Linked DNA regions of Ovis aries. The protein of the gene in region 2 interacts with the protein of the main gene of each other region in a pairwise test. Links are inferred from orthologs where the notes say so. Each region holds a gene or a part of one and is shown on either strand. Other genes may lie near its edges.

Evidence for each region.
Region 1: the proteins of FATE1 (region 2) and CD79A interact in binary tests that used the Homo sapiens proteins (3 or more experiments, as listed by UniProt). The two-hybrid records come from large-scale screens. The link is inferred for Ovis aries from reciprocal best matches to the Homo sapiens genes FATE1 and CD79A.
Region 3: the proteins of FATE1 (region 2) and SYNPR interact in binary tests that used the Homo sapiens proteins (3 or more experiments, as listed by UniProt). The link is inferred for Ovis aries from reciprocal best matches to the Homo sapiens genes FATE1 and SYNPR.
Region 4: the proteins of FATE1 (region 2) and TRAF3IP3 interact in binary tests that used the Homo sapiens proteins (3 or more experiments, as listed by UniProt). The two-hybrid records come from large-scale screens. The link is inferred for Ovis aries from reciprocal best matches to the Homo sapiens genes FATE1 and TRAF3IP3.
Region 5: the proteins of FATE1 (region 2) and CCDC70 interact in binary tests that used the Homo sapiens proteins (3 or more experiments, as listed by UniProt). The two-hybrid records come from large-scale screens. The link is inferred for Ovis aries from reciprocal best matches to the Homo sapiens genes FATE1 and CCDC70.
Region 6: the proteins of FATE1 (region 2) and AGTRAP interact in binary tests that used the Homo sapiens proteins (3 or more experiments, as listed by UniProt). The two-hybrid records come from large-scale screens. The link is inferred for Ovis aries from reciprocal best matches to the Homo sapiens genes FATE1 and AGTRAP.
Region 7: the proteins of FATE1 (region 2) and LNPEP interact in binary tests that used the Homo sapiens proteins (3 or more experiments, as listed by UniProt). The two-hybrid records come from large-scale screens. The link is inferred for Ovis aries from reciprocal best matches to the Homo sapiens genes FATE1 and LNPEP.

The regions. Positions count from the first base shown.
Region 1 is NC_056067.1:50,930,312-50,934,321, forward strand, and holds the start of CD79A (B-cell antigen receptor complex-associated protein alpha chain), read right to left. Parts: upstream 2,801-4,010; 5' UTR 2,776-2,800; coding exon 2,700-2,775; intron 1,325-2,699; coding exon 1,031-1,324; intron 808-1,030; coding exon 689-807; intron 1-688. UniProt on the Homo sapiens protein: Required in cooperation with CD79B for initiation of the signal transduction cascade activated by binding of antigen to the B-cell antigen receptor complex (BCR) which leads to internalization of the complex, trafficking to late endosomes and antigen presentation.
Region 2 is NC_056080.1:84,011,662-84,015,694, forward strand, and holds the end of FATE1 (fetal and adult testis-expressed transcript protein), read right to left. Parts: intron 2,407-4,033; coding exon 2,300-2,406; intron 1,929-2,299; coding exon 1,853-1,928; intron 1,089-1,852; coding exon 957-1,088; 3' UTR 501-956; downstream 1-500. UniProt on the Homo sapiens protein: Involved in the regulation of endoplasmic reticulum (ER)-mitochondria coupling. Negatively regulates the ER-mitochondria distance and Ca(2+) transfer from ER to mitochondria possibly implicating it in the regulation of apoptosis.
Region 3 is NC_056072.1:38,208,312-38,212,292, reverse strand, and holds the start of SYNPR (synaptoporin), read left to right. Parts: upstream 1-1,181; 5' UTR 1,182-1,354; coding exon 1,355-1,372; intron 1,373-1,497; coding exon 1,498-1,563; intron 1,564-3,981. UniProt on the Homo sapiens protein: Intrinsic membrane protein of small synaptic vesicles. Probable vesicular channel protein.
Region 4 is NC_056065.1:72,994,534-72,998,033, reverse strand, and holds part of TRAF3IP3 (TRAF3-interacting JNK-activating modulator), read left to right. Parts: intron 1-38; coding exon 39-102; intron 103-362; coding exon 363-387; intron 388-642; coding exon 643-672; intron 673-764; coding exon 765-860; intron 861-3,500. UniProt on the Homo sapiens protein: Adapter protein that plays essential roles in both innate and adaptive immunity. Plays a crucial role in the regulation of thymocyte development.
Region 5 is NC_056063.1:21,628,193-21,632,297, reverse strand, and holds the start of CCDC70 (coiled-coil domain-containing protein 70), read right to left. Parts: upstream 2,801-4,105; coding exon 2,132-2,800; 3' UTR 1-2,131.
Region 6 is NC_056065.1:41,204,312-41,208,610, forward strand, and holds the start of AGTRAP (type-1 angiotensin II receptor-associated protein), read right to left. Parts: upstream 2,801-4,299; 5' UTR 2,726-2,800; coding exon 2,591-2,725; exon of another isoform or gene 2,570-2,590; coding exon of another isoform or gene 2,543-2,569; intron 1-2,542. UniProt on the Homo sapiens protein: Appears to be a negative regulator of type-1 angiotensin II receptor-mediated signaling by regulating receptor internalization as well as mechanism of receptor desensitization such as phosphorylation.
Region 7 is NC_056058.1:94,053,864-94,057,363, reverse strand, and holds part of LNPEP (leucyl-cystinyl aminopeptidase), read right to left. Parts: intron 2,258-3,500; coding exon 2,144-2,257; intron 556-2,143; coding exon 421-555; intron 1-420. UniProt on the Homo sapiens protein: Release of an N-terminal amino acid, cleaves before cysteine, leucine as well as other amino acids. Degrades peptide hormones such as oxytocin, vasopressin and angiotensin III, and plays a role in maintaining homeostasis during pregnancy.

The DNA.
Region 1 (4,010 bases), on a different chromosome or scaffold from region 2:
GCAATAATACTAAGTGGCTATAGTTGTCTTGTGGCCTAAAGAGCATTTGTTGTTGTTTTAGTCGCTCGGTTGTGTCTGACATTTTTTGCGATCCTGTGGCCGGTAGCCCGCCAGGCTCTGTCCATGGGACTCTCCAGGCAAGAATACTGGAGTGGGTTGCCATTCCCTTCTCCAGGGGATCTTCCCGACCTAAGGATGGAACCCACGTCTCCTGCATTGCAGGTGGATTCTTTCACTGCTGAGCCACTGTGGAAGCTCAGGTATTCTTGCCTAGGAAATCCCATGGACAGAGGAGCCTGGCGGGCTACAGGCCACGGGGCGCAAAAGAACCAGACACACCGCTTAGCGGCTGAACCCACAGGCATGCCAGAGTCTCCGGTGGGGGTCAGACATCCGGGATGACACCAGCTCCCATCTTCCCCGTCCTGGGCTACATCTGAAGGGTACAGCCCTCCTGGATAGAGGGACCAGTGAGGCATCCCTGGGGCCAGAGGTGAAGACAACCCTGAGGGGAGACTGAGCAAGGACGCCCCTCTGGTCCCAGCACAGTTTGAATGCGTTCATTCTATTAAATTTTTAGGCCCTCGGCGCCTGGGAGGTGGGCGCTGCCATTCTGCCAAGTTCTAGGCGGGAGGGACTCTTGGGGGTCCGCTAGTTCCCGCGGGGTGGGCCTGGGGGGCGGGCTCACCCGGAAGAGCAGCAGCGTTCCAGGCACCACGGCGCAGATGAGGAGGATGATGCCCTCAGCGGTGATGATGTTGTTCTTGGTGCCCTCCCCCATGTCCAGGAAGGGCCTGGGGAGCGGCTCTGTGAGGAGGGAATACGGCTCAGAGCCCCACCTTGCCGCTGGCCACGCCCCTAGGCCACGCCCCCTCCAGCGAGGCCCAAGACCCTGGAAGCCGCTCCCGCTTTGCAGGTGAGAAGACTGGCCGCTGCGTGAGAGCCGGAGACCCAGGATGCCCGAGATGCAGGCGATGCCGGCACGGGCTCCATCCCGCCTTCCCGACGGATGGACGGGATGGACACTCACCTCGCACGCGGAGGTACGTCCCGCAGGAGCGCTGTATCTTCTTGCCGTCACTGACTTCGCACCTATACATGCCCCTGTGGCTCTTGTTCACTTGCTTGAAGATCAGCTCGCCCCCGGCACCCAGGCTCCCGCGATGCATCACAGGGGGCCATGAGGAGTTGCCTTGGGGGACGCGCCACCACGTGACGTTGGTGTTGCTGCCGTTGTGCATGCACTGGAGGCGCACCTCCTCCCCCACGCTCACCGTCACCGAGGGTGGGCCCCACTCCACCCACAGGGCCTGGCACCCGGGGCCTGCAGAGAGGAGGCAGGCGGGTTGGAGACAGCCAACGGGGACACTGACCCAGCGCGGCCCCTGGTAGCTGCAGGGCTCCTGGCTGCGTGTGTGTATGTGTATGTGGGGTGGGGTGTGGGGAAGTGTGAGTGACACACCCAGAGTGGAGGGGGGGCTGGGAGGTGTCCCCACTTGCCCCTCCAGAGCCACCTCCTCCCTCTGCCCCCTGCTCTGTGCTTCTACCCCCTCTGAGCTCGCTGGCACTTGAATAGGCAGTTCCCTAGGACTAGCAGTGCCCCAGGCCAGGAAGCTCCTTACAAAATCAGTTTGGGCATCACCTCCTCCTGAAGGCCCTCCTGGATTATTTTCTCACCCAGCCCCTGCCTGGCTCCACACTGGCACTTTACTTTGTGTAATTATCACAGAACCCATAGGAATCGGTTCTGTCATAACCCATTCTACCAGTGGGCCAGCTGCGACCCACAGCAGCAGGCGTCCCTTGGCCCTGGGCCTCTTCTCGCCAGTTTGTGAGCCTGCCCTGCCCTGTGACCCTGGGTCCGGCCCTCATTCTCCTTGGCTTGCTTGTGTCATGCTGGGGGCCAGGGGTGAGGTCAGGGACTGGGCTGAGCTGGCTGGTTAGGGCTGGGAGGGCCTCAGCTGGGTCGAAGGAGATGGGGCGGCCCAGGCACGGGGGAAGGCCCAGTTCTGTGCCCCTCCTCCTGGGCCAGTCCGCATGGCTGGCTCTGCCTCTTTTGGAGGGAGGAGGGGAGAGGTGGGGAAGAGAGAAGAAGGAAGAAGTGGGGTAAGAGACAGCAACCTGAGGAGTCACTCCAATCTCAGCTCCCAGTGGAAATTTGGGGTGACTGGATGCCTCTCTCAACTCCTTGGTCAAACAGGGTGGTCACAGCCCTGCCAGCTGGCATTGTGTGGGAGGGCAAGGGGGAAGGTCACTTGCTCCCCCAGCACTGAGAAGGGGGTTCCCTAAGTAGGGGGTGAAGACTAGGATTCAAGGCAGAAAAGGAGAAAGATTTTTCTCCCCCTTGAAGCTGACTGCTACCCACCACCGTCCCCTCCCTGCCCCCAGCTCTGGAGCTCAGTCAGTCAAGGGCAACCTTAGTTCCTTATTTTGATCAGGGGGGATGAGCGGCTGGGGAAGGTGTCTCCTGCCCCTGCCTCCCTCCACCGGGCCAGGACGCACCTTCAACTTCGCTGAGCCCCCTCCAGCCTCCCACCGGCCTGTTTGAGACAATCAAGCAGACAGATGCAGTTTCTACAGGGTCTTTTCTAGCCTGCCTCCTGCCAGCTCCTCTCCCTCCCCCTCTGCCTGGGGCCCCTCTCAACAGTCTCCCAGTTCCCACTACCGCCTCCCCCAGCACCTGCCTGCTAACCACATACCCAGGCCAGCAGCGGAGATCAGGAGGAGAAAGATGGTGGCAGGTGAGCTTTGCAGGGCTTGGGGACCCTCAGGCATCTTCTCCCAGTGGGTTGGTTAGTCTGGGTTGCAGCAGTCCTGGGGTACCAGATCCCACCTCGCTGAGCCCCAAACCCCGCCCCACTTCCTGCCCGGCCCTGCGGAGACGGGCTTCACTGGCCCCACTGCTGGGCCCTTTGGCTGGCGGGCGAGGGGGAAGCCCCTGGTGGGGGAGGCTTCAGGCCGTGAGTGGAGAGGAACCGCTTCTTGCACCTGTGGCCACCACAACTCCCCTGAGAGGAGGCTGCTTGGGTGGGGGGAAGAGATTGGTTCAAGGCCTGGCTCGTCACTGGAAAGGAAACCCGCCCTGCTCGAGGGAGCCAGGGTTTGGGGGGCCTGCTGCACACAGGCAGTCAAGGGTGGTGGTGGTTCCAAGCTTGGTCTTTGCCTCTCATTGGCCTCGGGCAAAACTTGTCCCCTCTCCGAGCCTGTGTCCTCACTTCTTTTTTTTTAGATACTTATTAATTTATTTGGTTGCATTGGGTCTTAGTCGCAGCATATGAGATCTTTGCTGTGTCATGCGGGATCTTTCGTTGGGGCACACAGATTCTCTAGTTGTGGCCATGGGCTTATTGCCTTATGGCACGCGGGATCTTAGTTTCCTGACCAGGGCTCAAACCCACGTCCCCTGCCTTGCAGGGCGGCTTCTTAACCATTGGAGCATGGGGAGTCCCTAAGCCTCTGTGTCCTCCCTTCTTGGGGTTGGAAAAGAGAATTTCTCCAACAAAAGAGGTTGTACATGCACAGCGCTGAACACAGGACCCCGGCACGTGGATAGGTGCTCAGTAAAGGTCGGTTATTATTAATGCTTATGAGGAATAAGGGCTTCCCTGGTGGCTCAGTGGTAAAGAATCCACCTGCCAATGCAGGAGACAAGGGTTCAATCCCATGCACACACACATATAAGGAGATGCGGGAAGAACCCCTGGAGAAGGGAACGGCTACTCATTCCAGTATTCTTGCCTGGAGAAGTCCATGGACAGAGGGGCCTGGTGGGCTATAGTCCACGGGGTCCCAAAGAGTCAGACACGACTGAGCGACTAACATACACACAGGAGGAATAGATGAGGCAGGCTCACCAACTCTGTGCCTGCGTGATGGCTTTCCTTTCTGAGGTTCGGCATTTAAAAATATATATATGTATCATTTTATGTGGCAGCGCAGGGTCTTAATTGCGACACGTGAACTCTCGTAAGTTGTGGCATGTGGGTTTTAGTTCCCTGATCAGGGATTGA
Region 2 (4,033 bases):
TACTCAGCACACTGTCCTCTATGAGAACATTTCAGAGCTGTGGACACAGAGGAGAAGGGTTCAAAGTCCCTCTATGTGATCTCCCATCCGGCCTCCGAAGCTGAGTTGGGGCTGGTCCCCAATCGATCTGTTGGAGGAAGGCCAAGCCCTAGACCCTAGGGCTGTCTCAGGTGACCCCAGGGCCATGTTTCCCTTCTTTGGGCCTCAATTTCTCCTGAGCAAATGGAAAAGTTTGTGGTCCTATCCAGGAGATTTCTCTGAATGAGTCCCTGTAATGTCCAACTAGGACAAGCTGCTGCTGCAAAACTATGTCCCCATAAGCATTTGCTGGTGGAAGTCCCACAGGAAGGGCTTTGCCTAACTCTGCCCCTAAGGAGTGCCTTCCCCAACTGGGCAGGCAATGGAGAGGCAGGAGGAGCCTGGGAAGGAGGAACCAAGGATTTTGTCCAGAGGGGCTGTCCCCATGCGAGTCCTGGATGCAAGAAATTCAGTCACCAGGGTTTGCTGCTATAACTGAACTTTTATTGAGAATATTCTGTGTGCAGAGCCCTGAGCACAACCTTGAAGAAAACAGGGAAGACACAGCCAAGCCCCTGCCAAGGATGGAACAGAAGAGACACTGAGGGCCCAGAGGCAAGGTCTAGCTCCAAGATGGTCACCATGGAGCCCTGACAGGGAAGGAGGAAGCACCTACCACTGCTGTTACTGTGGGGACTGGAAACCACCATCCTCTCCCTGCAAAGAGGCTGGATCTCAGTCCATTCTGACCTTCGCGATTCTACACTTCCTCCACCTCCCAGCAGCTAGGGCCTCCCTCGGGCAGAGGTGGAAAATGGTGGCGATACTGTTGAAGGCTGCTGAAAGTTAGAAGGAGGATGGCAGAGGTGGCTGAGGGAGAGAAGGGAAGAAAGGGAGGACTGAAGGGCTCTAGCTGCACGGCGGACCGGCAGGAAACATCACTGGCGCATCCACAGCCATAGGTTGGCGATGCAGGAAGACAGCAGCATGGTGAATAACAGCACCTCCCGTTGGTGCCAGGTGGCACTCTGGTCCTCCAGGTAGCGCAGACGCTCAGTAATCATGAACAGCTGCAGAGAGACCAGAGCTAGCTGGTGAACAAGGCTCTTCTAGGGAAGTCCACAGCACACCAATGGGGGTAAAATATGACTTTAGACCAAGGAGGGCCTCTGCTGTGCTTTGGGAGGAAAAGGGCCTCTGGGCAAGAAGCAGGCAGAGCAGCTGACCAGGGCTGGGGATGGGCCCAGTGTAACCCAGAGACTGGGCTGTCTGTGTTCTCAGTCCCTGCCACCTTGCCTCCACCATCACCAGTTCTTCCCATTGTCTGGAAGAAGCCAGCCCATCCCAGCTGCCAGGGAAGGGGATGGGGTGCAGCAGCACCAGAGTAAGGGCCTCAGGATGGGGTGACATGCAAGGCCAGAGAGGGCCACCAGGGAAGACATCCTTCCTGCCCATGCCCATGCCTGCTGGGGTCTCAAACCAAGGAGACCTGAACTTGGCCTGAATGAACATGACCCCTGGCTCAGTCCTCTTGGCATCACTCTCTATGAATAAACTTCTCTTATCCTCTGATGTCCCCTCTTCCTCCTCTTCTCCTCCCTTCTCCCTTCCCACATGTCAGGCATAAAGATGGGGTTGAGCCTAGGCCTCAAGATAGGACACTGGAGACAAGAAGGCTGGGTGAATGGGGAAGCAAGCCTGATTTCGCCTCCACTGCTAGCAGATGAATATGATTGGAGAGGCTGGGTATCCTCAAGGTGGGTGGCCCCACCCACCCATTCACCATGATTCTGCCTCCCACCTTCAAGTGGGTCCCTGACAATCAGACACTCACCTGTCTTCTCATGATCTCCATCTCCAGCTCATTGAGCTCTTCCAGACCAATCTCAGCCAGTGTATTTAACTCTCGGCTGCACAGAGAGTTAAACACAGAGAGTCAGAGCCTCTGGTGGTCCCAGGAGAGCCATAAAGGCAGATGGGTAAGGTTGTGGACTTCTCTGGACCATGAGTCTGTCTGCCTGGAGCTCTCCCCTTCTCTGGTCACAGGTCCTGAAGCCTGAGGGCTGGGAGCTGGCCCTGCTGTGGGATGCTAGGAGGCCCTGAACAGGCAAGGGGCCAGGGGGCTCTATGGCTGTGGTGAGGAGGCAACAGAGTCCCCATACTCCAAGCATGGCCAGCTGTTCACTGCTCCCTCTTGGGCAGTCTGCTTGCCAACTCCCTGGGTCCCTGCCCCAAAAGCCCTGTCCTTTCTCTCCCGCAGGGTCCATGGGATCCTTCTTACCGCTCATACTGGGACCTCATGCCCTGGGAGCCGCCAGGATTCTCCTGGGGTCGGGCACCACCATCGCCTTGTTCTCCCACCACTCCAACTCCCCGCAGCTGCAGCCCCTAGGGAAAGGAACCATCAGTCAAAGTATCCTGCTTGGGCCCATACTTTGGGAGCATCAGCACACCCCATTGGGAGTCACGTGGAGCCTGATCCTCCAGAATCAGAAGAGCCTGGGAGTCACACAGGTTGGCTGCCTGCCACCACCCCACCTCCACCAGGCTCCTCTGGCCATGGGGCTCTCCAGGCAAGACTTCAGGAGTGAGTTGTAATTTCCTACTCCAGGCGATCTTCCTGACCCAGGGATCAAACCCACGTCTCCTGCATTGCAAGCAGTAAGATACCTCAAAAACAGCATTAAAAGGACAGTGTGTGTCAGGAAGACTTCAGGACTATAAAGAAGAATTAGATAGAGAGTCTCTCCTAGAAAAATTTCCACAATACCCCCTTGATTTTCTTATAGATTGGGATCAGAATGAGAAAATGCTTTTTGAGAGAGTTGAAGGCAAAATAAGGATGAGTTAGTAGGGTGTATTGTTTGTTTGTTTGTTTGAGGTAAAATATTTTATATTTAACACATCAATATCTTAAGAATTAATTTAACAACATATGCAAGCCTGATGATAACTTGTGATCACCAATCATTTGATAGGTCTAACTGTCCAAAGGAGTTGTCTTTTCTTTCTTTTCTTTTTAATTTTAGAAACTCTCTACTTAGAGTTATATACATTTCAAAACATCAGATTTTTATTTACATTTGATGGGGATTTTTAAAATCTATGAACTGCAGCAAGTGCAGCCTCCCTCTGTCAATTATTTCCAAAAATGTTATTTTTATTTTCATTTATTTTTTAAGGCACACTACATCATTTTTCCCAAATGAGCAGAGTAGTATTATGAATTTTTTTTTTCTTTCATGTTGTGGTTCTCTCAGAGGCAATAGCATTTCATTAACATTTTACTCAAAAATAAATAATGAATAAATATATAGAATTTATACATTTAATTCTAAGTGTCTAAATTTAATTTCTACAATCAATATAAGGACTCTATTTTTTAAAGGTATATTCCTCTAGTCCTAATAGGCAACTATAATTAATCTAGAGATTAATTAAACCCCTCTCAGTGCCCCCACCTTCTACATCAAAGTTAGAACATAAGCAGCTTGCCCACATCCAAGGTGAATATAGCTAACAGAATCAGCCACAGAACTACTAGACTTAAGTGATTTCATGAAACAATCAGGTCTCCCTCCTCCTCAAAATGGCTGGCTTTTCCCCATATTTAATGCATGTGAAGAAGATATGGTAGAAAGTGAAGAACTAAAGAGCCTCTTGAAAGTGAAAGAGGAGAGCGAAAAAGTTGGCTTAAAGCCCAGCATTCAGAAAATTAAGATCATGGCATCTGGTGCCATCACTTCATGGCAAGTAGATGGGGAAACAGTGGAAACAGTGTCAGACTTTATTTTGGGGGGCTCCAAAATCACTGCAGATGGTGACTGCAGCCATGAAATTAAAAGACGCTTACTCCTTGGAAGGAAAGTTATGACCAACCTAGACAGCATAATAAAAAGCAGAGACATTACTTTGTCAACAAAGGTCTGTCTAGTCAAAGCTATGGTTTTTCCAGTAGTCATGTATGGATGTGAGAGCTGGACTTTAAAGAAAGCTGAGTGCCAAAGAATTGATG
Region 3 (3,981 bases), on a different chromosome or scaffold from region 2:
TCTAACCTGTGGCCCATGGTGGTGGAAGGGCCGAGTCTTAACCCCTGGGCCATCAGGCAAGTCTCCTTTTCTATTTTGAATTAAACTCTGGCTTCATTCTCCATACTCCCCTCATGGGTCTCAGTTTCATCTCTAAAATGAGAACAATAGTAGTTACTACTGCTAACTACTACTAATAGTAACTATTACTACTAACCCATGGGCGTTTTGTGAATATTTAATGAAATAATGTTTATCAAGCCCATAACACAACTTCTGAAAGAGCTCAACTGTTTTGTTGTTGTTACTATTGGTGGCAGGCTCAGGACACTAAGGGAGGAAGAGTGTATGAGGTGAGATGGGGAGCACTCAGTCCTATTTATGATGGATTTGGGGGGCTTAATTTGAGGACTGTATTTTAGGCAGAGGATCTCAGTTGAAACAGCATGAGTTTCACAGAAACCTGAATTCCAATCCCTGTTTAGCATCTCATGAGCTATGTTACCTTGTATAATTCAGCCTGACGAAATCTATTTTCTACTTGTTTTTCTTTTTTTCTTCTTCAAAATTACAGGCGTAGTAATTTGCTCCAGACCTGACACAGTGGCTACGGGATTACCTGCCCGGCATACTGCCCCATATTTTTATAATTCGTGCATTTCCAGTCTCCCCGCCAGCCCCCTTCGCCTTGACCTGGCCCCCCGCTTATCCCTGAGGGAATGGGCAGTATTCACCCTGTTCTTACATCTCTCCCACCACCTGGCACTGCTGGGCCACGCGAAGAACATTCCATGAAGGCTCCAGCGCATGACCAGGGCAGCGGTCTGTCCCTGGTGTCCAGAAGTTTCCAGAACGCACACACCTCTTCACTTACGGTGTGGGTTGCCTGTTTCTTACCTGGAACCCAGGTCTTCAGGCGGGGGGGACCATCCTGCTGAGGGTGCCAGCCGGCTTCTTCCAAACCTACAGCCCCAAAGTTGCCCTGGAGCCTAAGGGTACAGGGCGCGCCCGCGGCGACGCGACTCCGAGGTCGCGGCTTGGCCTCGCCCACCTTCGGGCGCCCGCAGCCGGCCAATCGCCGCCTGGCCCGGGCGCGGGGCGCGCTCCCCTCCCCACCTCCCCGCTGCCCCGCGCCCGCCCGCCCCGCCGGCCCCTCCCACCCTCGCAGACCGTGCACGCCGCGCCCGCACGCGCAGGCTTCCAGAACCCGGCCGCTGCGAGCCCGCGCGGGGCGCTCAGCTGTCCGCCGCCTCGCTCTCCGCGCCCTTTCCGAAAAGGGGCTCCTGGCCCTGGGCCCTGCGGCCGAGGACGGCGGTGGCCCTCGAACTTCATTTTCAAAGGCGCCGCTGGGTGAGAAGCCCGAGCGAGGCGAGCTATGGATCCCGTGAGCCAGGTAGGACTGACTGGGCAGCGCGGGTAATGCAGCGCGACCCCCGGGGTTGGATGCCGCGTCCCCCAGCCCCTTCCTCACGCTCTCTCTCGCTCTTTCTCTCTCTGTCTCGCCTTCTTGGTCCACAGCTGGCCTCAGCAGGTACCTTCCGGGCGCTGAAGGAGCCCCTTGCCTTCCTGCGAGCCCTAGAATTGGTGAGTAGCGGGCTAATGTGCGGGGAGGAACCAGCAGGTGAGGAGAGGTCGGGTGGGGTGCTCTCGTCTCGGCTCTTCTCCAAGCCTGGGAGGCCAGCCGCTGCCTTCGATCCTCCCCTCTCCTCAGGTGCCATTCCAGGATGGCGGGGACAGGATGGAGGGATCCGGCTTGGAGGCGGGAGCGTGGACGAATTTTTGCAGGCGCTTAGACGAGGTGTCATCTCACAGGCGCGCAGGGGCTGAGGAGAGAAGCCTCCTGGGGAGACCGGGAGGAGAGCAGATGGAGGCGCTGCCGCTGGGCTCTGGCTGCTCACCTGCATTTTGCGGGGCTGAGGGCGTGAGAGGAGGGACCGGGGGTGAGCGAAGTAGGAGAGAGGGCTCGGCCAAGCTGGGAAAGTTGGTGAGCGCGGCAGCAGCTCTCCGCCGCGCCTGGGATGCAGGAAGCGCTGTGATCCACGCTCCAGCGAGAGGGAAGCTGAGAAGCTGTGAAAAACAGCAGCGTTGAAGGCAGGACTTCTTCCTCCTGTCCCAGAGTTTCTCTACTCTATTCGCTCTCGAGGACTTTTCTGATTTCTCCTAGAACCTCCCAGCCTACTTTGGAGCTTTCTTCAGCGCCTGGGTTTTAGGAAGTTGTATTACTCTCATGTTCTGTCCCCGTAAAAAAGAACTTGATAGTCCTAGGACAGCTTATCAGAGGAGTAAGGCGCAGAAAAGCTACCAACGGGGCCACAGAGCTTTGTTAGTATTGCGGGCTTGGATGATCGTTATTCAGAGTGAAATCTGCGGGTCACACATTCTCTCTTGCTAGGAGCTCTGAAAGGCAAGCGAGTCTATCTGAACAGAAAGTTCAAAGCCCGTCATGTAGCATTAATCACAGGCCCTATCACTGAGGAGCTAGGAAGTTATGTAAGAGCGTGTTCGTCCTCCCAGATCTTAGCTCCAAGGGCCAGTATCCGGGTTTGGCAACACAACAGTGTTACATGCTTACATGGTTGATCAGGGTAATCACATCTGCCTTGTTTGTAAACCTGCATTAAAATGCATGAATCTGTCAACTGGACATGGCATCAGGACAGCGTTTGGAAGGCTTGAACCAGTGGTTCAAGGATGGCTTTTCTTAACTGTTTTCCTCACAGCCAGGTTAAATCATGCAGGACTCAGTCCAGGCAGCTTTCACTTGACTTTCTCAGACTTCTGTCCACGCTCATTCATTTAGCCATTCAACAAACATTCTCTGTGGAAGAGTGGGTGGTTGTTGTTGTTGTTTTTCTCTGTGGAAAGGCTGCATTGTCAAGCCATTGTCTCTCAAAACAAAATTCAAAGACCTGCCATCATTTCTGACACAGTCTCTCCTGGTCTCACACTGTTGCTGTCACCCGCCTGAAACCTTCCTTTGTATTCCCTTCAGTCCTGTTACAATGTTATTTCATGTCACTCCCCCCACACACCCTCAGTGAGTATATTTCAAAGTGTGAATGGTTTTGTTTTCAATGCAGATTTCTGGAAATCAAATAAAAATATTGGAAAGGTGGGTGCCCAGAAATCTGCATTTTTAAGCAACTTCCTAGGTTCTTCTTAGGCTCATTAGAGGACCACCACACTAAGCTATACAAGGTCCCCCAAAACTCAAAAGCACCTGTTAGCTTAATGTTCTTGTTATTTGTGTTCATACTGGATGGAGTCCTGTCACAGCCCAAGCCAAATACAAATGTTTGTCTTTCAACCTCAGCTTAAGTATTACCTTCTCAGTGAAGATTTCTCTCATAATTGCTTCTTTTTCTCTCCTCTACCCCAAATTGAATGATTCACCCCATTCTTTGAGCTTCCATTACATCTTATTCATTCATTTATTCATAAGAATTTATCATCCTGTCTTATAGTTATCTTTTCTTGATGTGTGTGTGAAAGATATATTAACTTAATTTTTTAAAAATTGGAGTATAGTTGATTTTCTCTCTTCTTGGCCTCTAACTCTTTATGGAAGAAGGAATTTTGCTTATAAATCAATGATTAGCTCTCATCTGTGCTAGAGAACCTGAGTAAGGGACCAGTAAAACCTTGAAAGGACGTATACGTTAGTTGATTGCCACCTTTTGAATGAGCTAAGGTTCACAAACGAGAGCAGGGAGATAGAAGGTGTGAGAACATGTATCAAGGTGGAGAAAGGAAAATATCTCTTCCGTGCATGCCATGGCTGAAGAATCACTCACCGGTCTTTGTTTCCTGTGGAAAATGGTGACAATGAGAGAGAGGTCTAGCTTTGGAAGAAAATTTGTTCTGTTTGTCTCAGTGTTCCCCACAGGTACCTTTGTATGTGATAAGCAAAAATTGTAAATTGAACATGACAGAGCACTAAAAACATCCCTGTTCCTCCTGTTCTGTGCGGGAGCAGCTTCTCTGTGGGAGAAGCTGGTAGTC
Region 4 (3,500 bases), on a different chromosome or scaffold from region 2:
CCCAGGCCTCCTGAATCATCTCATCCCCTCCCTCTCAGGCACTCAGACAAAGGCAGGAGAAACACAGTCAACAATCAAGAATGATGCCAGTCAGCAAACCAAGTGAGTACCTTTCATGTTCCTGGCCCCAGCTCCCCCAAAGCCCATCCATTCCTCTCTTCTAAGCTTTCACTTGAATACCCTCCCCCAGAATTTTGTGGAGTGGAACACAAGGAACTTTCACATCCACCTTAATTAAGAAAAAGGAGGGCCTTCCCACCCTATTGGCTCTCCAGAAGAGATGACAGAAGGAATCTACACCCTGCCTCCTGACACGCCTGTTTCTTTAATCCACTGCCATTTTTGTTTTTCTTCTCTTCCAGTTATGGAGTTGCAGTTCTAGATAAGGTAAGGAAATCCTCATGGTGGAGGTGTAGAACCACATGGCATCTAATCTTCTTCAAGGTCCAGAATTCATTGGTAAACTTAGCTGGGATGGCTGGGGCATCCTCTCCCTGGATGAGCACAGACAAGGAAGCCTGGAGGGACCCTGAGTCCAGGAAGAAAATTCACTTAGCACAAGCCAATCCTGGCTCAGATTCCATGTTCTAGGATTTCGGGAAAGCCACAGTCTTCTTAAACACCCTTTTTCTTTCTCTCTAGGAAATCATCCAGCTTTCTGAGTACCTCAAAGTAAGTAGCATGAACTTTCCCCTTAGCTCCTCCATCTGTCTGCTCACGTCTCCTCCAGGTTAATTTTAACCCACTTGCATTTTGCCCCTCAGGAGGCCCTACAAAGGGAGCTGATTCTAAAACAGAAAATGGTGATTCTCCAAGACCTACTGTCTACCTTGATTCAGGCCTCTGATAGCACTTGGAAGGTAAGGGAAACCTTTGTTTGAACAAAGCTCAGGGGCTTCTGTATGTGTCCATCTCGTTCTTCTTTCCATACCATTGCAGCAAGAGAAGGAGCTTTCTTACTACGGAAGATGCCGAAGGTAGGGTTAGACATCCAACATGTCACAGTAGATATATGGGAGAGCTTGGCTGAATCCAGGGTCGTCAGCTGAGGACCATGCTGCCACTCACCCAGGGAAGACCCAGAATCAAAAAAAGGCCCTCCTTTTTTTAATTTGTTGGAAGAAACAAAAGATGGTCTCAATACAGTTCCTGTTACTGACTGTGGTAAATATCAACTGTTTTTGTATGGAATTCATATCAATATTAACTTCAGCCACCATGTACCTACTTCTCGCCCCAGACATGAATGTGAAAGCAGGAAGGGACCTAGCGATTATCTAGTCTAATTTTCTCATTTTGCCCATGAGGAAACTGTCAGGGAAGTCAGGTGACTTGCTAAAGTCACAGTGCTAGTCAGAGGCAGAACTGGAACTAAATTGAGACCTCCTGATTTTAGTTCATTCATTCAACAAATATCCACAGATCACGTTCCCTGCACTGAGCACTGGAAATAATGAGATTAATCAGACAGGGTTCCTGCTTTTAGAAAGCTTGTGGCTTTCTCAGGGAGACAGATGCCTAAACAGTGAAGAGATATGAGAAAGAAAAAAAGCGCTTTCAGGATATGGTAGAATACAAGGGGAGAACCAGGGAAGTACTTACAGTTATATTTCAAGGCATTGACTATCCATATTGTATTTTCTAGGCAAATGTGACAACAAGAACTATATTCTGGTCAGGGGATACAGCACAGGCAAAGAACCAGAGGCATGATATAGTCGCCAGCTTTTTATTATCAGGACACCTTTATATTCTTTAAAAAAGTATTAATATCCAGGGGCTTCCCTGGTGGTCCACTGGTTAAGACTCTGCACTTCCAGTGAAAAAGGGTACAGTTTCAAAGCCTGGTTGGGGAGCTAAGACACCACATGTAGCATTATTATTAAAAAATAATATTAAAATCCAAAGAATTTTTTCATTTACCATTTAGAAGTGAAAACAGGAATTTTAAAATATGCACTAAGTTTAAAATAACAGTAGACAGACTACATGGGAACTTAAATTATAGACTGTTTGGAAAATATTTTTAAATAGTGAGAGAAGTAGCACTGCTTTATACTTATGCGAGTATTTTTAATGTCCGAACAGAGGACAGCTAGACTCCCATGTTTGCATCTGCATTCAATCTGTTGTTAATACATTGTTTTGTTGAAATATATGAGGAAAATCTAACCTTACACAGAAACACAGTTGGAAAAGGGAAGACCTTGCAGATCCTGGATTCCCGGGGGTCCTTGGACTCCACACTGAAATTCCTAGACTGCAGTGTTCAAGCAGTTTGATGCCACCAGAGCAGAAAGCCACAGGTGTACAGATAGAACACACAGGCCTCACAGGCCTCTGTGAGCATCTGATCGTCCACACAGATGGTGTGCTTAGAAAGCCAGCCCACCCGGGACAGGCAGGCGTGGGACAAAACTGCGAAGCCTGCAGTGACGTCAGAGACCTCCAAGGCTCAGCCAGCCCTCTTCCCGTCGGTCACTGTACCTGACTTTGGGTGTCTGTATTCAGGGCTCCTGCTGCTTAAGGAAGTGGTTTTCGTAGCAGAGTAGTTCCCTGAGACAGACAGCTGTGCATGCCAGGTGCTTTCCGGGGCTGAACTAAACTGAGACTGTCTCATTCGTTTATTCAACAGACGTCTGATAAGTCCTGACTATGTGCTGGGTTGGGTGCGGCAGGCACAAAAGGCAGTAGATTTCCCACAGCAGCCAGGAAGAGAAAGACAAGTCATAAATAAACCTAACTGCCGCGTGCGCAAGCTGTAACAGCACTTTCTACCAAGGGACCCAGACAGAAGAGAAGGGAGCGATTCCTCTGCCTGTGGAGGAACAGGGTAGGCTTCAGAGGCAAGGGGCCACTTCAGTTGCGTCTAGGACTGAGGACTTTACCGCGACAGACTGAAAGTCGCTCACTCACGTCCGACTCTGCGATCCCATGGACTACACAGTCCATGGAATTCTCCAGGCTACAGTACTGGAGTGGGAAGCCGTTCCTTTCTCCAGGGGATCTTCCCAACCCAGAGATCGAACCCAGGTCTCCTGCATTGCAGGCCAATTCTTTACCGGCTGAGCCACGAGGGAAGCCCAACAAAGACAGAAGCAGGAATGATGAAGGGGGAGAGAAAGCAGAAAGGATAAGGGTGCTTACGATAAAGCAATCTAAATGACTACAGGCCTGGGAGTAACAGAGCGTGGGGCAGGGCCAAGGGTGATGGAAATGAAGGGATTGTGTCAGAGAAGCTTCAGAGAGAGGACTTCTCTAGTATTACGGCTCTTAAATATTTTCTGCTGAATAGGGTATGTCGAACTTAAATAGTCATGGATTCCCTTTTAAAGGACAAGTGTGTGTGTGTGTATCATGAGAATGCATGACACCCCAGTCTGAGAAACACTGCTGCGGGCAGTAAGCAGGGTAGCAATGGGCGGCGCTCACCTCAGGTCTGAAGTCCTACACTTAGCAATGTCCGCCCCATCCTGAGAAGGAGCTTGTCCAGTAGCTGT
Region 5 (4,105 bases), on a different chromosome or scaffold from region 2:
CCTCTTATTCCAATATTGTGCATTGTAACTGTGGTTAGATCACAATCAGTATTTATATTTAACGATGTAAATGCTATTCATAGCTGAGCATGTAGTGTTCCACTGTGGTTTTTCCTTTTCTGCACGTGTCTTTGTTTCATATTATACAACTGTTGCTTTCTTCCCTTTGCTCAGTTTTCTGCCTACTCACCAGTTGATTATTCATCCTTAGACTCTCCACCAGCAGTGTTAATCTGCTCTCAATTCATTCAGTCACAGTGAGGGTGCCTAGCTGTTTCCCTTGTCTTCACACAAGCATCTTGTTCCCTCCGCTTACTGACATCTTTGCCTGTTGAGACCTGAAGATGCAAGTCTGGGTGTGTGGCAAAGGAGGAGGTGGATCCCAGTGCCCTGGCCCTGACTCCTGAGGGTCAGAGGCCTTCCAAGGAACCCCAGCTTTCCCACAGTGATACGGAGCCATGGAGGCTGTTCATGAAGTCAGCCCACTCTCCTGGTACCCAGATGTCTGCTCAGCATACCCAAGGGGACTCTGTCCTCTTTTCTCTGTGTTTTTGGAACACCACCCCAAACCACAGTGAAGTCTCCCAAGGGCTTTAAGGCTCATCCAGCTCTGACACTATCATTGGCTGAACTGGTCTAAAGCCACATCCTATGACCCGGGCTGGGTTCGAAGAGGAATGGGACCAACTGGCAGACAATGTGGGTTCTTCTTCTGGACCTTCTGGTTGCAACCAGAAGTCTCTCTGCTTCTCCAGGTCTCTTTCTTCACATGTGCAATGGGTTTATGGACCTTCCCTGTCAACCTACAGAGTTGTGAGGAAGGTTACATGAACTGGCAGGTGTGAACGTGCTTGTCAAGTAGTAAAGGTGGGCACATAAGTGGCTGCATGAATGAGAGTGAGAGCCAGGCCCAAGAAAAGGGGAAGCAAGAGCTGTTGGCCTCGACATTTCTTACTACTCACCTTCTGGGCCCTTCCATATCAATGCCCATATATGTAGTCTGACACCGGAAGAGAAGCTGGGTGTGTAAATGGCTGATCACATTAGCGTGCATTCATTTAGTGTTCTACTTCCCTGAGGCACTTTAATTGAGTGGAAGAAGGGAAACACAAAGGAAGGGATTGATAATGTAGAGACACAGGTATCTGAGACCTGAGTATTTAATAGGAGTATAGGGCAGGAGGTCTCCCTTACACCTTGCAGGTGGCCTCACCTGGTCCAAGGAGTCCAGCATCAGAAAAGGGGAGTGGGCGGAGCTCTAGAGCCTCAGTCTAATGCCACTCCCCTTTCTTAGAGAATGGGAAGCAAAGTTTGGTGGAAACCTGGAACAGTGAGCAAATGAGTCATTAAGGGATGCTGTCTGTGTCTAAATAGCCTGCCAGGTGAGGAAAACCCACGAATGAAATGTTAACACCACTATAGCCTTTTCTGGAAAGCTGTCCACCCGCCCCAGGCTTCCAAGACTGCCCAGCTGCTGCTGCTGTTAAGTCGCTTCAGTAGTGTCCGACACTGTGCGACCCCGTAGACGGCAGCCCACCAGGCTCCTCTGTCCCTGGGATTCTCCAGGCAAGAATACTGGAGCGGACTGCCATTTCCTTCTCCAACGCACGAAAGTGAAGTCGCTCAGTTGAGTCTTCGCGACCCCTGGGATTTTCCAGGCAAGAATATTGGAGTAGGTTGCCATTTTCCTTCGCCAGGCAAGACTGCCCAGAGTGGAGAAATGACTACCTCAGAACTGGAGAGAGGCAGAAATGTCTCTGCCCTTCTCTGGCCCTCCCTATCTCTCACTGTCATTGTCTGAGCACCCCCCCCCACTTCCTTTCTAACTCTTTTTTAAGGCGAGCCCAGGGCCTCCACTCACACCCACCCACTCCTGCCAGGTTCACCGGAGCTGCCAGCCCTAGGGACAGCAGTTATAGCCCGTGGAGGATGTGACGGTGACCTCGGAGAATCACAAGACCTGGGAAAATGCAGCTGGCCCTCCCTACAAAAGTTGGTTTTCCAGACCTCTCCTCAGGACTTTATTAGATCTTTTGAAGGCAGGAGCCAAATAAGAGCATTTTTTTTTTTAGGCATGCGGGGTCACCCTGAGTGTGACTCCACTTGAGTCCCAATCCAGTGCCTCTTGCACTCACGCCCTGCCCCGGGAGGAGGCTGGCGACCAGGGCCTGCCACTGATGTGGCGGTGCCCGCCTTCCAGCACCTGCTGCTCCACAACCGGAACAACCCCTTCCACCCAGGCGGCCTTCTCCTCCTCCCAGAGGGCATTCTCCTCCTCCCAGAGGGTCTTCTTATCCTCCCAGAGGACCTTCTCCTCCTCCAGAAGGGCTCTCTCCTCCACCCACAGGGCCTTTTCTTCCTCCCACAAGGCCTTGTCCTCCTGAAGGAGGTTCCGGTCTCTTTCCCACAAGGCGTTGTCCTCCTTCCAGAAGGCCCTGTCTTCCTTCCAGAAGATTCGGTACTTTTTCCAAAAGGCCTTCTCTTCTTCCCGGAAAGATTTTTCCATTTCCCAGAAGGCTTTTTCCTCTTTCCAGAAGGTTTTCTCCTCTTCCCAGAAAGGCCTATCCTCTTCCCAAAAGCCCAAGATCTCACCGCGGAAGGCACGCATCTTGCTCCGGAAATTCCACATCTCTTCCCGGAAGTCTTCGATCTTCTCCCGGAAGTGTCTCATCTCTTCGCGGAAGGCCTTTTCTTCCTGGAGCTTGTGGATTAGTTTTTTTTGGCGAATGCTGGAGGAGGAGACCACCAGCGAGCGGAAGCAGGCAAGCCCCATCCATTTTCTCACCTTGAAGGGAAACATAGTCCCAGTTGGCCCGGATGGCGGGGTGGCTGTGATGGAGGACAGGGCCACTGGCCAGGATCAGGTCAGCTGGTCCAACCCTGTGGGGGGACGAGAAAGAACACACCCTTGAATATAGCATCCCAGAGGGCAAGCCTTGGAGTCTGTGTAGCACTATTGAGATTTTTTTAAAAAAATCTTACATCTTTTTTACATTTACATGTATCTATTCTTTTGCAAATTCTTTTCTCATTTAGGTTATTACAGAATATTGAGCAGAGTTCCCTATCCTACACAGTAGGTTCTTATTGGTTATCTATATTATATAATAGCAGTGTGTACATGTCAATCCATCGCTCCCCCCAGCCCTTACCCCATGGTAATCATAAGTTGGTTCTCTAAGTCTGTAAGTCTGTTTCTCTTTTGTAAATAAGTTCATTTTATCTTTCTTTTTAAGGTTCCACAAAAAAATTATATCATATAATATTTGTCTTTCTCTGATTTACTTCAATTGGTATGATAATCTCTGGGGGCATCCATGTTGCTGCAAATAGCATTATTTCATCCTCTTTTATGACTGAGTAATGTTCCATTGTATATATCTACCAGTTCCGCTTTATCCATTCTTCTGTTAATGGATATTTAGGTTGCTTCCATGTACTGTTGTTGTAAGCAGTACTGCAGTGATACTGCCAGGATACAATGGGGTGCTCGTATCCTTTCGAACTATGTTTTCCTCTGGATATATGCCTAGGAATGGGATTGCTGGATCATGTGCTAGCTCTGTTTTCAGTTTCTTAAGGAACCTTCATTTTGTTCTTCATAATGGACGTACCAGTTTGCATTCCCACCAACAGGGTAGGTGGGTCCATTATTGGGAAATTTTAACCATTGTTCTCTTTGTCCTCCTGCTTGTGTTTTTGAGGGACAAGCTTTGGTAGAGAAAGATGCTGGATGATCATGGCTTTGGGCTAAAGAAGTGGTCAGTACATTCAAAGCTCAAGGCCACTGAAATAACAGGCCAACAAGGTCAGTGGTTCTCAACTAGGATGTCAGGGCACACAAGTGTGATATGCTAAATTAAGACATATGACAGTTTTTGTTTTGCTTTTAAATAATCAAGTGCCACAGCCACATAGTGATTTATTTGTGTTGCATCAACTAGAATATATCTGAGGTTTTGGCTCTCTCACTGGGGAGTTGCTCATAACCTTCTGATGGGTGTGCTCAAAGCAGGGGGCCACACATGTGCATGTCCTATGTTACAAGCCATGTGGGAAACAGAAGATGAAACCCTTGGACCTACAGGAGTCAGTTTAGTAGGAG
Region 6 (4,299 bases), on a different chromosome or scaffold from region 2:
CTGGGAAGCCCCGAGACAAGGCAGTCCCTGACTATTGTGCAGTCAGGTTCCGGAATTCTTAACCCTCATGCTATACTAACCCCCTGCACCCTCCTCCCAAGGGCCTTTTCTCACAAGCCCTCATGAACCCAAGTCTAGAACTTTCTAAACTCTCACAATGACGTTCCTTCAGCTCAGGACTTGCCTCATGTGTGGCATTGGGTTAGGAACTACCTGGAGGGCCCGGGGCAGCTGCTTCTGTTCACCTGGCACCACTGCCTACTGTGGGTGGGCTGGGCACAAGCAGGCACTGAGCCAATACCCCAGGAATGTGTGAAAGGAGGGCAAGGGTAGTGCAGGGTTGGGGGGTTGGGCATTTTCTGAGCTCCCAAGGGGTTCTGATCTCAGAATAGCCCACTTAGACTCCTGTGGGAGGCCAGAAAAAACAACAACAAAAACAGAACCCCTAGTTAATCTTTAATTTCAGATAATGAATAATTTTCTAGACTGTTCCAAATATTGCCTGGGATATAAGGTCCACTGGAGAAGGGATAGGATAACCCACTCCAGTATCCTGGGGCTTCCCTGGTGGCTCAGCTGTAAAGAATCCTCCTGCAATGTGGGAGATCTAGGTTCGATCCCTAGGTTGGGAAGATCCCCTGCAGAAGGGAAAGGCTACCCACTCCAGTATTCTGGCCTGGAGAATTCCATGGACTGTACAGTCCCTGGGGTCACAAAGAGTTGGACACGACTGAATGACTTTCACTTTTCATACTTAGATTAAAAAGTTATTCATTGTTGATATGAAATTCAAACTCAACTGGATGTCCTCAATGTCACCTGGCAACCCTAGCTGTTCACGACCTCTCAGCACTTACTTGTCTCTGATTGGTAGCAGCTAAGACCCTTAGAGATATGGTGTTTTATTTCCCAAGTCAAAGAAAGGACCAGCTATTTCACTGTGGGCAGTGAAAGCCGGCAAAGCTCACATCTGTGGTCACGTGTGGCCTGTGAGGCCCACAAAGTTTCTCCAAAAAAAAAAAAAAAAAAAGCCACAAACAGACTAAGCCCTCCCACTGGGCACTAACTGTCAAAGCAGAAGTTGGCCCTAACTAATGGTGGCCAGGAAAAGACAGAGCTTTGAAGTCTGACCGTGATGGGTTCAAATTCTGACTCTGCCACTTAATCTCTGTGGGGCCTTGACAAGTTACCTATCTGGTCTGAGCTGAAGTTGGCTCAGCTACAAAAATCTCAGAAGGTTGATACGACTAAATAAATAACCCGGCACACCACAGACGCCCTAAGAATTAGGGCTCACTCCCTCGTCAGTTCCTGCTCCTCTGTCCCTTTCCTCCTTCCCCCTTAATAATTATTTTAGGCAAGTCTCTAATCAGAGAAAAGGTAGTCGGCATTAACTGCACACAGCCTGGAACAGAGTGAATGTTGATACCAATGAACCTCAGTTGCCCTCGTGTAAATTTCTTCCCTGCTAAACCTTCAATCCAAGCCCATTCCCTTGTCACAGCCATCTCTCCCCCTGCAGCAGTTGACTGGAAGCCTCGGAGAGGTCTGCTGAAGCAAGTGTTCAATATTAAGGAAATGTGCCCACGTGAAGTCACAACACAGACCATGTCTAATAATCCAAATATGGATGATGTATTGTTCTGTAGTCATCTATCTCTTACTTTAGGACCAGACACCATGGGTGCATAATGCTTTGTCAAGGGTGAATAAGAGGGTACTCCTGCATACAATCTCAAAGGAAACTGTACCTAGGCCGCAGATGGCAGGTCTGGTCCAAGGCTAAAACCTTTCTGACCAAAGCTAAAGGCTTCAGCCTCTCAGTGGCAAACCCAGCCAAGAAACACTGGGCTGGAGGAGGGCGGGGAGAAAAAGAAGAACAGCCTTTGGCATTCTTACAGCTCAGGAAATGAAGACACCCCAGCGACCTACAGTGTTTTCCTAAATGTGCAAAGTTGGGGGATTCTGCTTTTGAGTAAATTCTATTGGTGTCTGTGTTGCTTAAGAAATAAAGACGTTGAATCTATCAACTCTGAAAAACCATCTGTCTGGGATCATTTGATTTCCTTAACTTGATCTTCCCAACAAGAGAGGCGGTAAGGGCAGTGTTGGGGGTCCAGGTGAAAGCTTTACCCCTCTCTCGGTGGAAGGCAGGTGTCCTGCCTCCAAGTCCAGCCTCGGGCTCTCCTTGGGTCCCTCCCCACCACGCTCTCCTCTTTCTCCAGAGAAATTCTGGGCGCGCAGGCCAAAGCGAGCCTCAGGGGCTCAGCGCTCCCAGCTGAACCGGTCTTAGGGAAGAGACGGCTGCTTCCCTCCTCCAGCTCCCTCTCGGTCTTTCCTGCTGGCCTTCTGGATCTGTCTTCCTGGTATGGTCTGTCCGCCCACCTCCTTACACCTGGGCTCTGTTCGTTCTCTTTCTCCCCACCACTCCACTTTCCCCAGATTCTCGGTCCTCTACCTCTAAAATCCTCACCTCTAAAATCACCTACTAAAAGCGCAAATACCCAACACGCTCCGGGAGACCCGCCCCGCCCATCGCCACCTTCAGGTTCACGGCTGGCAGCTCCATCGCGACCCAACCGGACAGCACCTGCGCCACAACCGCGGGGGCTCCTGGTCTCCGAACTCGGGAAACAAACTTGCCCAGCCCCGCCCCGCCGGCTGCCCTTTGCCAGAGCTCCAACCCCAGCTGGGCTGTGGGGGGGGGGTCACGTGAGTAGGTCATGTGACGACGGCCCGGTATCTAGGAGACGGCGTCGTGCTGCTTGAGCCTTCACTGCGCCACTGCCCAGGTAGTTACGGGGCGGGGCCGGGGACGGGGGCGGGGGCGGGCCGGGGCCGGGGCGGGGGCGGGGCCGGGGGCGGGGGCGGGGGCGGGGTGGCGGGCGGCTGGAGAATATCCAGATTTGTGTCGCAAAGGGCGCAATATCTCGCCGAGTTAAAATCCCAGCAGGTGGGCTGACGGGACCACCTGCAGCCAGGAGAACTTGGGGGAACCTCCAAGTACAATCTGCAGATGTGGTAACAGCTGGTGTCTCATCCCTGAGGGCACAGTCTCTCCTCCCTCCTTCCCCAGTGAAAGTGAAGACGGTTACCTACCTCATAGAATCCTTCTGAGGATGAATGAACTAATTCATGTTTGAAGAAAAAATACTGACACTTACTTTAAAGGTAAGGAAGACTTATTCAAGACTGTTGGGATCCCCTTGGGTCTGTCCCGCTGAGTGCTTATTCTTATTTCCAGGAGGGGAGAGACCACGTGGAAACCTGAAAGACTGGCTGGGTGGGTCCTAAGATCCTATCAAGATACAGACTCTAGATACAAAGAGCGGAGTTTTCCAGGTGGGTGTGGAGTCTGACACGACTGAGCGACTTCACTTTCACTTTTCACTTTTATGCATTGGAGAAGGAAATGGCAACCCACTGCAGTGTTCTTGCCTGGAGAATCGCAGGGACGGGGGAGCCTGGCGGGCTGCCGTCTATGGGGTTGCAGAGAGTCGGACACGACTGAGGCGCCTTAGCAGCAGCAGCAGTGGGGTCTTCTGCAAGGTCGCGGAGTCCGCTGGCCTATTTGAATGTCCCTTTTGGAGACACAGCTGTCCAGCCCCCTGAGCAGAATAGCACATCTGCCAGAGTAACAGAGAGCTGGTAAGCTTCAGAGACCGGACAGATAGCTACACTGGGCACGATTGTTGGGATTCAGAGCCCAGAGGACTAGCTGGACCAGAGAAAAGAGTTTGAGTCCTAACTTTGTCCACTTACTGGTTCTACTTGAGCAAGTCACTTTGCCTCTCTGTGCTTCAGTTTTCTGATCCGTAAAATGAGAGAAATAATAGTATCTTCCTTGAAGGATGGTTATTTTGAATTTGTTAATAAGGATTTGTTAATATGTAAAAATGTTTAGAACATTGCCTGGCAGACAGCCCTTGATCAGGACTTGCTACTGTTTTGATATTCATTATTAGTTAATTATCATAAATTATTGTTACTGGCATAGTACCTAGAAAAGAGGAATTCCTCAGTAACTAGTGGATATTATAACATTATTGTTTCCTTCTAAGAGATGTCTCCTATAAACCCTGGATCCTGCTGCTGCTGCTAAGTCACTTCAGTCGTGTCCGACTCTGTGCAACCCCGTAGATGGCAGCCCACTAGGCTCCCTCGTCACTGGGATTCTCCAGGCAAGAACACTGGAGTGGGTTGCCATTTCCTTCTCCAATGCAAGAAAGTGAAAAGTGAAAGTGAAGTCACTCAGTTGTAGAGGTGTTTAATCCAAGGATGTAGGTATGTAATAAAACT
Region 7 (3,500 bases), on a different chromosome or scaffold from region 2:
AGGTTTCTAATTCTACAATAGAGTCTTTGATTCGTAAAAATCTCCTTTTGTCTACCTGTTTTGGCAATTCTGACTTTGGAACACACTTCAGTCCTGAATGACACAGCCAAAGGCTTAGAGCCTCCCCTGGACATATTCCACCTGTAGATCTGGACAGTTATCCAACTTTAAAAGATCTATTACTGTAAGATCTGGTTAACTAGCCAGAATACTAGTTAGAGAACTTAAGAGACAGAGAAAGAAAGAAGAACCTAGATCAAGTTAAGATCAAGATTTAAGTAGAAGCAAACATCTTAAAAATTAACAGGAAAATTGAAAATAATACTTGTCTAGTCTTTAAAACAATCTAAATCAGTCAGCTTGCTTTCATATGAAATTAATTTGTAACCCACTCCAGGTACTTTTTGTGCATGGCAATACCTTAAAGTAGGAAAGAGAATCAAACATTTCCTCAATCTGTTCTGAAGACTGAACAGATGATGATGATATTGGATGGGATGAATTCAACGCATCTTTTCTCATTGTTTTAAATCGAGCATCTAAGAAATCTTCATACTACAAAAAATGAAACAGAATAAAGAAACTGTGAACAGTATTAAAGACAGAGGCAAGTTTAGTAATTATTGATAGGAATTAGACTAATTACTGTTTAAGGTCATTATAAAAAAAATCAACTAGCTTCACTAAACTTTAGAAATAATCTGTTGAAGATATAGGAAGAATGTGACATTTATGCATATTTGTTAAATTTGAAAATAAAATTACAACTTCCACAAAAATCAGTGTTCCCTAAACAACAACACAAGGATACATTAAGAGTTTATTACTAAAGCGACCATATGCTAAATCCAGTTGTTCAAATGATTATTTAGAAATGGCTAGTGAATATTTGTAAAATAAAATCTTAAATTAAAAAAAAAAAGGAACTGCTCCTTAAGTTGATTTCTCATACATAATCCAGCTTTTCTATTGAGATAATATACATTTCCCTTGACTGAGGCTATTCTTAAGTAAAATATAAGTCTTAAACAGAAAGGAGTCTGAGAGTTCAACAGACCAGTTCCTCTAGAATATATACTAAAAGCTTTTAAACATTCTGGGCACCACCAAGTGGTGAAACTGTATATCTCTTTGTTTAATTAAGACCCATACCCAGATTTACATTACTTTGCTTATTAATATTCAAGCTTAAACTGACTTCATTTTACCATTTGAAATCTTTGAATAGGCCCTACACAAAAATTTCAAACTGAAAGCTCTGAGAGTACTCATCTTTTGAAGCACTTTTGGATCATACAGTCAAGAAGCTTAATAGAAAGTCACAGAATTCTATAGTAGAAACGGATTCTTATACTTTTCCATTTACTGCTTGAATTATTCCACAATATCTGTCATGTATGACCTATGCTGCGTGCTTAGTCGCTCAGTCGTGTCTGACTCATTGCAACCCCATGGATTGTAGCCCGCCAGGCTCCTCTGTCCATGGGGATTCTCCAGGCAAGAATTCTGGAGTGGGTTGCCATGCCCTCCCCCCATATAGGACTTAGTATGTCCAAATCTCTCTAAGGAGAAGAAACATCTCCGGAGAGTCTAAGAACACAGTAACAACATCATCATGCTCTCTGTAACAGAATGGGGTTCCACGGCTTTGAAACGGGCACAAAATATGGTTTGGACCTAAAAAGAGCAAATTATTTGTCTCGCTGTGTATCACTGTTGTAAGAATGATCACAGTGATAATAGCATTGCCACAAAATGTCTTCATTTCTTCTCTATAAGGAGTATAAAAAGTTTTGTTTTGCAAATAAAAAAAAATGCTTTCCAACTCTATCTAAATTCCTTAAAGCAGAAGGGCCACATCTATTAAACACAGAATTTAGCAAAGCAATTTGAAATGTTCATCTTAATGACAAAGTATAAAATAATTTCACATTATTTCTGCTTTCTGAAATCCATCAGTAACTAAAAGCACAATTTTCACTGTCAAATCTCAAGAGGTATAGAGATCAGTAACAAGTCAGTTTTATTGTATTTTTCTAGAAATATTTTCATTGCTCCAAATGCATGGAAAATACATGTCCAGTATGATTGGACTATTTTTCTTCCTGGCATTCACAGGAGGCCTAACAAACAGCGTACTTACACTGGAGAGCTCTCCGAATATTTTTTCCAAAGAGAAATACTCCATGAATGTAGCAAAGCCTTCATTCAGCCACAGATCATTCCACCACTGCATTGTCACCAGGTTACCAAACCACTGCGGGAAAGAGCAAACAGCTAACCAACTTCACATTCTCAAGACTTTTCTAATAATCGAATTGTCAGATTAATCGCCTATGACCAGATTACCACTACTTAAAAGTATACTTATTGCAGTTAAAGCAAACTATATTCAACTTTAAGTCTTACAAATACATTGCATTTGTGATATAAATTTACTTTAAAAGTAAAACTGTATACATGGAGTAAATTCACTTTTAAAGTAAAATTATAAATTTAACATTTTACCTTACATAAAACAAACAAAGACAACTGGCTTATTTATCAGTTTAACAGACATGCTGTATAGTAGGTAGACAAAAACTGTTTTTAGTCACCTCATTAAAACATTTCCTAGATAAATTCCTCTACTTTCTAGTATCAAGTTAGTAATATTATTTTCCATCATGTCTACAATCATCATGACAACCCAAAAACGAACGTCTGTATGAGGGATGTTCCTATAGTCAGAGAGCCTGCACTGCATGCTTCTCCTCAGTTACCACATTGAGTATTTACATGATTCAAAACAGAATTCAAACAACATTCCCTAAGAAATTTGGCATGCATACAAATAAATAAAATCAGAAAGACTTTTAAATGGCTTTTTTCCATGAAGTAATAAGAAGGAAAAAGAAGATGAGACACCCCTAAAAAAATTCATCTCAAAAATCCCTGAAATGAAGCGTGGCCAATAAAAAGCGTGCAGTTCAGTCACTGTGGCCAAGGGCTCGGCTCAAACCATCAGCAAAATGACAAGATTACTAGGTACTGAAACAAAGCTCTATGGAGAATCACAAAAGCATATTTTCAAAGATTAATATCTTAAAAACCTCTTTCAGAAGAAGATGACTTCTAAGTCGTAAAGAAGTACAAAGGAAACACTCCTGCTGTGGTGATGGCCGGCCCCAGGAATAACAGACCTGGAGCAGATCCCCTAAAAAACAGTTTGAATACGTGCGTAACTGTAAGAGCAAATACGCACACGCTTCATAAGCCAGCCTGTCGAGAAGTCCTCACAAGGCCCGGTGCGCTGGGGCTGTGGCTGAGGTAGGCGGCCAACCGGCCAGAGCACGCCCCACTCTCGCCCACCTCCTCCCACCGTCGCGACACCCCGGTCGGTCCACCCCACCCTGATGAGCACTGCATTGAGGGCACGAGAGGGACCAGGTACCGGGGAAGAAAGAGTGAGGGTCACGCACCCATATAATTTTCCTTCCTTTTCTCTACATCATCCAGAG